Nothobranchius furzeri: one gene and its partner. The protein of the gene in region 1 purifies or fractionates together with the protein of each later gene. This does not show direct contact. Links are inferred from orthologs where the notes say so. Each region holds a gene or a part of one and is shown in the gene's direction. Other genes may lie near its edges.

Region 1 (4,391 bases):
CCTACAGCTGCTGGAAACTCTGAAGATTTTCACAGATTCTTTGTTGATAAAGTATCAGGCATTAGAGCAGCTATTTCTGGTAACTCTATTGACCCTGTTCCAGTTCCTCCATCACCACCCACCCTGAGCTCCCTCAATACTGTTTCTTATTCTGAGCTGAGTAAGCTTGTTGCAAGGCAGAGGCCATCTGGCTCTCCACTTGAAGTTCTGCCGCCTCGTCTCTGGAAGGCTGCCTTTCCGTGTCTTGGCCCTTCACTCGGTCAGATTATCAATGGGAGCCTCAGCACAGGTGTGGTCCCAGCTGCTTTGAAAGCAGTTGTTGTTCGGCCGACCCTGACGAAACCTGGTGCTGATGTCTCTGTGATCACAAATTACAGGCCTATCTCTACCCTGCCTTTTACATCAAAACTGCTTGAGAAAGTCGTTTATCAGCAGCTGGTCTCACATTTAGCTGACTCTGATCTGTTTGAGGTTTTCCAATCAGGGTTCAGGTCTGGCCATAGCACAGAGTCTGCTCTACTGAGTGTCCTAAATGACATCTATCTATCACTAGATCAAGGTACATCTGTGGTGCTTCTGTTGTTAGACCTGACGGCAGCCTTCGGCACAGTTGACCACACGATTCTACTGGATCGCTTAGAACGATGGGTTGGGATCAAAGGGTCAGCTCTGGATTGGTTTAGATCGTATCTCCACAACAGGACATTCTGTGTTAAACTGGGTGATGTTTTTTTCTTCTTGGGAGGGGCTCCGTTGGGGGGTCCCGCAGGGATCGATCCTTGGTCCTCTTTTGTTTACCATTTATCTGCTTCCTCTGGGGTCAGTCATTCGTAAACATGGCCTATCATTCCATCTCTATGCTGACGATTGCCAGATTTACTCTCCATTGTGTCAGGAGAAAGGTCACTCTATCCAGTCCTTTGTGTCCTGCATTAACGAGGTGAAGTCTTGGCTAATGGCCAACGATCTGCATCTGAATGAGGGAAAGACAGAGTTCATTGTTTTTCACCCCAACAGCAGGAATGTGGGTCGTTATGTTGATCTTGGCCCTCTTTCTCCCTACTCAAAACCAGTCGTCACCAGTTTGGGGGTGAAAGTTGATGCTGGACTTAAATTTGATGTCCACATCAACTCTGTGATCCGGTCCAGTTTCTTTCACCTGAGACGCCTTGCAAAAATCACGCATATGCTGTCAAGAGCCCACCTGGAGCGGGTACTGCATGCATTTGTAATTTCTAGGCATGATTACTGCAGCTCTCTCTATGCAGGGTTGTGTCAGTCATCACTGTGTCGCCTACAGGTTGTGCAGAACAGCACAGCCAGGTTCTTGACTGGGACCAGGAAACGGGACCACATCAGTCCGGTTCTGGCCTCCCTGCACTGGCTTCCGGTTTGTTATCGTTCACACTTCAAACTCCTCGTCTTTGTCTACAATTTCTTCCAGAGTAATGCTCCCCCCTATCTAGCCACACTCCTGAACAGATATTCCCCATCACGCGCTCTGCGCTCCTCTGACCAAGGCCTGCTCGCTGTCCCTCGTTCGAGGTGTCGTACTCGCGGGGACCGGGGTTTCTCAGTCCTAGCACCGTCACTCTGGAACCAGTTGCCACCCTCAGTTAGGCTGTCCTCATCTCTGCCAGTCTTTAAGAGTCGCCTAAAAACCCACCTCCTCCGCTTGGCGTTTCCTGAACGTGTTTAATTTGGCCATCTTTAATGTTGATTTTATTTCCCTGTTTTCATTGGTTCACTCAATCCATTGTTTTACCAATTTGTCCTCTACTAGAATGTTTTACCTTTTTTGTAATTTGTAATCTGAACTGCTTTTATTTTTGATTTATTCACCATATTTTACTTTGTCATGTACCATGTTCAGCGCCTTGGGCTACCCGACAGGGTTGCGGAAGGCGCTATATAAATAAAGCTTTGATTGATTGATTAAACAGAGTTCGCGACACGTTTTACGACACCAGCTGCAGACATACGGCACTGTTATGTCACTTACCCAGCTAGCTTGATCCAGCAGAAAAGCCGCTGCCTGAAACTTCAGGCTTCAGACGTGCAGCTCAAGATGAGTCGATGAGACTGGCATTTTGGTATTTCACCTTCCGCTTGACACTCGCATGCGAATACGCCTATTGTGTGTCTATATCTGTCTAAAAAATCCACATGTTTTGTTTAGCTTGTGTGTCGTTTGAGCGTTTATGGATTCAAATGAGCTATAACGCCACAGGCTGCCTGCTTTCTGCCTTTATTATGGAAACGTCACTGTTAAACCAAGAGACATTTAATACATTTTGTTAGCTAATTCAGACAAAGAGGAGAGGACCAGTGTTTATCAGTTTAACTCCTGACAATTACAGTAATGAGGCTGGTCCAGAATACCTGGAGAGGATGCCCTTAAAGCTACAAGGCCCTGGCATTCACAGCATGAGTGCAGGTACCACTAAGCGCTTGAATTCTTCACCTCATTAAATGACTTCTTTAGATCAAATTATATAATAATCAGATAAGCTGCCTTGGCTGTTTGGTGAATCTAAACTACACATGCACCGATTGTGGTTTTGTGGACCAATACCACAGATTGTTGTTTGTACAGCTCTGACTGTTCAGGTGGTTCTGTCATCTAGTTAGGATGCCTCTTGTACACCTCCCAGGTGAGGTTTTCTGGGCACGTCCAAGCAGGAGGAGACCTAAAGGAAGATCCAGGAGACGCTGGAGGGACTATGTCTCTTGGCTGGCCAGAGAACACCTTGGGATTCCCCCAGAGGAGCTGGCCCAAGTGGCTGGGGAGAGGGAAGTCTGGGCCTCTTGCCTTAGTGACCCGTGACCAGACTCTGGATACGCGGAACAGGATGGATGGATGGATGGATGGAGTTCTGATTTATTGATTGGCCAACTCCAATGTATCTCAAAACTATTAACAATTTTTTTTCTGAATAATTTGAAAGTTCTGGTTTTTAACACAAGTAACAAGTACAGTAAAACAGCAGTAGCACACAAGATATCGCAGTAAATAGTTGAATTTTTAGTGAAGACAATTATTACACAGACTAGCAATAGTAATGTAAATAACGCACACGTCTTAAAAGATGATGACCGTTGTACTGGCATGTTACAGAGGGATAAGTTGCATATTAGAAGTGTCCGTTAGAGTCTAACAGCAGCAGGAAAGAAAGACCTGCAGTATCTCTCCTTCACAGCGAGGACGGATCAGTGTGTCGCTGAAGCTGCTCTCCAGAGCAGACAGAGCGTCATGTAGGCGGTGTGACTCGTGGTCCAGCATGGATCACGATTTTACATCAGGGCATCCGCGGGTCCTTAAAAAGTCTTAAAAAGTCTTAAATTAGCTTTTCCAAATTTAAGGCCTTAAAAATCTTTAAAAATGACAAATAATCCTTAAATACAGTTTCCAAAGGTCTTAAATTACTAAAGACCCAATAAACAAGATTCTTTTATTTCTATAAAAAATTTTGTGAATTTGTAGTTGGTGTTCGGCATTTTTTGTGTACGATGTTGCCGTAAGCGGAACCGTACACATTCAGTTGGTTGTGAAAGAGGGCTACTTTTAGATGAGCACATTAGCTGGTTAAGCTAGTGGGAGCTTGCGCCATGGGGAAGTGCAACAGTAATGGTAACTGGATGGCTAATCCCATGTTTCGCGACGTGGTTAGCACCGGTTCCAGGCAATAGCTGGAAATTATAGCTTAAATAAAATTTTTAAAAGTTGCTTAAATTTGGTCAAAGTGGTCTTAAGAAAGGTCTTAAAAAGTATTAAATTTGGCTCCCTTAAACCTGCAGATACCCTGTACATGGATTATCCTGCCCCCCCCCCCCCCCCCCCCATCCCGTATTGAGGAGTCTAGAGGACAACCCAGGACAGAGCTGGGCTGGACTTCCTGATCACCCTGTCCAGCTTCTTCCTCTCTCTCTCTCTCTGTAATGCTGCTCCTCCAACAGACCACACTGTACAGGATCGCTGATGCCACCACAGAGTCACTCGATAAGCTGATTTCAGTCAGCAGAGAGTTTTTATTGACATTTCGGTCTGTCCTTTTGATGGAATCTTTTGTCATCGAACTTTACAAACTTAAACCAACTCCTAATCTCATCACCCATTAGTACAAACGCTCGCTGTAGACACACGAGGAAAGATTTGGGGAAACGTTGCTCCCACAGGCTCGGCACACCTATAAATGTGCTTCGCAGGATTTCTGCTGAAAATGAGGAGGTGCGAACCACCAGTTTTCTTCCTATATTTGGTTTTACAAAGACTCGGCCATGTGGGCACAAAGAACCTGGGTCACCTGAGGAGAAAACACCCAAACAAGCCGAACTGTGTGGTCTAGTGCAGCCTCGTGAAGGAGAAACTTAACTAATCAAACCCCACCTAC
Region 2 (4,435 bases), on another chromosome or scaffold:
CTGATGCTCTGCAAACAACCGGTCACTTTAAACCTCAAAATAAATAACTCTAGACTAGATATAACACAACACAGACCCATCCCCCTCTTCAATAACAACAAAGAAGTAGAGCAAGTGCAGTCCTTTAAATTCCTGAGCATCCATGACCCCAAGGACCTCATCTGGTCAACAGACATAACCCAACTTGTGAAGAGAACACATCACTGACTCAGGAGGAATAACCTGCAGAGTAAGGCGCTGGTGGTCTTCCACCTGACAACCATGGAGAGCATGCTCCAACACATAATACAGAATAATCTGAAGAAAAGGTACATGTATATACACATAGTCAGTATTCAAGTATTGTTGGGTTCTCTGCTGCTGTAGATAAAGGGGCTCTGCAGAGGATCATCAAATCTGCAGAGCAGCTCACCAGCCGTCATCATCACTCCCTGGAAGATCTCACCACCTCACACTGCATCAGCAGGGCCCATGACATCATCCATGACCACTCCCACCCCGGCCAACATCCATTTGAACTGCTGCCATCCAGTAGGCACTATAAAGTCTCAAAAGCAAGAGCCTGCAGACTGAGAGGCAGCATCTTCCCCAAACAGCAAATGAACCAAAAAAATCTCTTGAACAGTCGTCAGTGCAATAAATCCACTATTACTATAATAACCTAACTGTTGCATTCATTAAAGTCATATTTCTATGTATATATTTGTATTTCTACCTTTTTTCTTATATCTCATCTTGCATTTTTTAAATTTCTTAAGCCTCACACACATACTTTTCTGACTACTGTAAGCTCGTCAGGTTTTATTAGCAGGTCTGACCGGACTTACTGTGTGCGGGCTGGACAGGACGAGCTTCTCCCGGTCCCGTTTGCGCCTCCGCTTCTCCTCCTGAAGCCGGGCAGAGGGCTTTGTTTCTGGGAGGTTCGGCTGAGAGGAGACGGTGGTCGAAAATACGGAGGAGTTGTTGGAACAGCGTCTGGCTGTTCTGGTCCCTGAAAGCCTCCGAGCTGCCCTCCACATCCTGAGTTAAACACTACAATATATATACATAAAATATAGAGCTAAAATATATTTTTTGTTGTTTTTAGATATGTCTAAAATGGTAAAGTGCACAGTCCATTCATATCTGTTACGCCTAACTAAATTAAATAACTTTAGGGGTATTCAGGTTCTTACGACTTAATGCTATATAAACACCTCTCCGTTATATATACTTTTGAGCTGGTGCCATTGTAAGTCTGTTTATAATCTCAAGCGTTTGTTCTGTTTACCGACCTCACGGACATTGGAAACAAACGCTTGTCCGTCACAAAATAGGTTCCCCGCAAACATTTCCGCTGTCAAGTTGAACTCAAACACACACAGAACTGAAATATAAAGTAAATGTCTTGTTCTGTTTTAAGATCAGATAATCCACCACAGCCTTGTACAATAGATATTGCAAAAAAAGTTTAAAACACATCTGCAGTTAAATTAATGAGTCTAGAAATGAGCTCTCTACCTCGGACTTGCCTTGTACTTTTAGGATTTTGAAAACCATTAACTTCCGTTTAGAGTCGCGTTAGCGTGATTCACAATTTGCGACCAGTTCCTATTTATTGCAACTAATAATTTTAAGGACAATATTTGTTTGCTTTTTCAACAAAGCTTGTGAATTAACGATTTAGGGTCGGTTACTGACGCTTCCACAGATTCGTGTTGACGCGTCACAGACCCCCGACTCCACTGGTTCTGCGTCTGATTTCAAGGTAAAGGTAGCATTAGCCTAGCAGCTCCAGGGATGGCGGAGGTCCCCGGGACGTCGAGTGAAACCATAACGGAGACTGTCCAGACTGGCACTCCGCCGCCACCCCAACAGGTATACGCTATCGAACTGGTCGGTAAACACTTTAATTGATTTTAGGGTTAAACCAGTCCGGTGTTCAGGACCTACCGAGGCCGCGTCGCTAACAACCAATGTTTCATCTGCTGTCGTAATTGGATGTGATGTGTTGATTTTTGATTTAACCTGAATAATCAGCCTGTCATGTCTTAGCTGTTTGTATGGGTTGTTGCAATATTGTGGGCGTTAACAGAACTCGTGACAAGGACCATTTGGGTTTCAGAGATGAATTGTTCTTCAAAACCGAGACTAGGCTCGGATCATTTATCACCGACGGTGAACAAATACAACATAAAACAACTTTAGACTCTGCTATCCGACGTTTTTCAGCGAGACTCCATCAGTAGGCTAGATCTTGTAGATTAAAATGCGATTGCGTTGTCTGGCGACCCTTTTTTCGGTAGCATCACCGGTTGCTGTTAGCTACAGGAAGCCGTGTTGTTGACGCTCAGTGGTAGGTAGGGTGGTGATAATGAATGTCTTATACATGGTCTGTCATGGTTCTGTTGGTGGAGTGTGCTTGTAGCATTTGTGATGCCATGTCATGGTTTCTTTTATAAACACTCAGTACTGCTCCTGTTGACATCTGATGTTTCTCAGGAAGGACGAAGCCTAACCATCAAGCTGAGGAAGAGGAAGACTGAGAAGAAGGTGGAGTGGTCCAGTGACACTGTTGATAATGAGCACCTGGGGAGACGGTCCTCAAAGTGTGAGTTCACATATCTTCTCAGAAAATAGAGGACCATCGTCGGGTGGTCAGGATCGCTGGGTCAAAGGTCAAGGTGCTTTCTCAGGTTGAGAACTTCCATTTTCGTTATTTCCATGCAGGGTGGGGGGTGGGGGTGGCTGGTGCCTGGTGCCTATCTCCAGCTGTCTCTGGGCAAGCAGATGGGGTCAACCAACCTGACAGTCATGGTTATGGATTGTGGGAGGGAGTTGGAGTGCCTGTAGAGAACACACGTGTGCACAGGGAGAACATGCAAACTCCTTGCAGAGAAACCCCAGGCTGGGATGTGAACCCAGGACCTTCTTGCTGCAAGGCAACAGCGCTAACCACTGCACCACTGTGCAGCCCCAGGTTCAGAACTTAAACAATGAAATCAGAAATGGCTGAGACATCTTAAGGTGTCTGGTTAATCGCCCACAGCACTTGAGTCTTGGTTTAGTTTGTTGGTGTTTCATCTTCTTCTTTGGATCTGGGTTGCAGCCCAAGCAGAAAAGCCCTGATTGTCCTCACACCAGCATCCTCCACCAGTGGGAACAACGCCATGGCTAGCCTGGAGATATAATCCCTCCAGCATGTCCTGTGTCGACTGAGGGGCCTCCTGCAGGCAGAACGCTCCCAAAACATCTCCCTTGGGAGATGTCCAAGCGGCAGCCTGACAAATATCTGAAGCAGGTTAGCTGGTTCTTCTCCGTGTGGAGAAGCAGCGGTTACTTAACCCTCTCTCACAGGCTGAGCCCGGCTATTCTGCAAAGAATAGAAGAGACTTTATTGATCCCACAGTGGGAAAATTCACTTGTTACAGCAGCACCAACACTTAAGAGAATAATTAGAAGAAAAAGTAATATTATTGTAACCTTTGAGCACAAAAAAAATCACTAATAAAAATGAAGCTTTGGGTTCCAGAACTATGCAGCATGCTGTAAGGGACACATACTGAGCATTGCATTGATGTTATTGTGTATCAGGATAATGCCAGCTGCAGTTAAACTGAGAAGGAAAGTCATTTGAACAGCTTGTATGGTCTTGGTCTTTCTGTCATAACCGACAGCTCACGACCGCAGTGAGTTCAGAGCTTTGCTTTCTGGCTTAGCTCCTTTTCACCACAACAGATCGCTCTGTTGCTCCCCGAGATATTTTTACAGTGACCTAGGCAGAAGCAGCTAACCTAGTGTGTTGTTCTGCTGGTACTAGCAGCTGCTTCTGTCTGAACTGGATCCGTTGTTCTGCCCAGTTTTTCTCCTTCAACTACCAAACTAATCCAAACCTAAACATGTCAGACATCTCTGAATGTGCTTGAAAGGTGTTGCCATCATCATAAAAATCTTTTTATTTATAGAAAAACACAAATATTGGCACAAAATCTCCACTCGGGAAGTCAGAACACCTAATAAAATGGTGCAGTTTGGGCGTGTCTGGTCTACATGCTGGAACATCTGGAGCTGGTACCAGAGGACATGAGAAGAGTGACGCTGTTGCCGGGTAGTTTATGGAGGACGGTCAAACCATGAGTAAAGGTCATCAGACATGGAGGATGGCAGGGTTAAGATGGGACAGCGCCACCTTACCCCTCCTGAGACACAACTCTGGTACTGTTGACGTCACCTGTCCAACCCCCGACCATCTGCAGATACACCTGGTGGTGGTGACAACCCCAGTGGAGATCCAGGACCTGGTACTGACCTGCTGGACCTCCAGTTACAGCCTTGCTCTGTTCCGATGATGTCATCATCCCTGTGCAGGTTCATGATATTTGAATGGGCCCAGTCTGGTTTGCAGGCCGCTCTTCATCTGAGTCATGAATTGGTTTTAGATTTACTTTGGTTTGAT

Evidence for each region.
Region 2: the proteins of ubxn2a (region 1) and ppp1r11 purify together in Homo sapiens (affinity purification with mass spectrometry; 3 studies listed by BioGRID and IntAct, counting the BioPlex papers as one, with this or other methods). This does not show direct contact. The link is inferred for Nothobranchius furzeri from reciprocal best matches to the Homo sapiens genes UBXN2A and PPP1R11.

The regions. Positions count from the first base shown.
Region 1 is NC_091742.1:21,872,326-21,876,716, reverse strand, and holds the start of ubxn2a (UBX domain-containing protein 2A), read left to right. Parts: upstream 1-1,552; 5' UTR 1,553-2,076; coding exon of another isoform or gene 2,077-2,093; intron 2,094-2,360; 5' UTR 2,361-2,437; intron 2,438-4,391. UniProt on the Homo sapiens protein: Acts to repress the ubiquitination and subsequent endoplasmic reticulum-associated degradation of CHRNA3 by the STUB1-VCP-UBXN2A complex in cortical neurons.
Region 2 is NC_091751.1:25,908,878-25,913,312, forward strand, and holds the start of ppp1r11 (E3 ubiquitin-protein ligase PPP1R11), read left to right. Parts: upstream 1-1,574; 5' UTR 1,575-1,779; coding exon 1,780-1,857; intron 1,858-1,932; exon of another isoform or gene 1,933-1,948; intron 1,949-2,481; coding exon 2,482-2,590; intron 2,591-4,435. Other genes in the region: vars2 (valine--tRNA ligase, mitochondrial), read right to left, coding at 828-1,019. UniProt on the Homo sapiens protein: Atypical E3 ubiquitin-protein ligase which ubiquitinates TLR2 at 'Lys-754' leading to its degradation by the proteasome.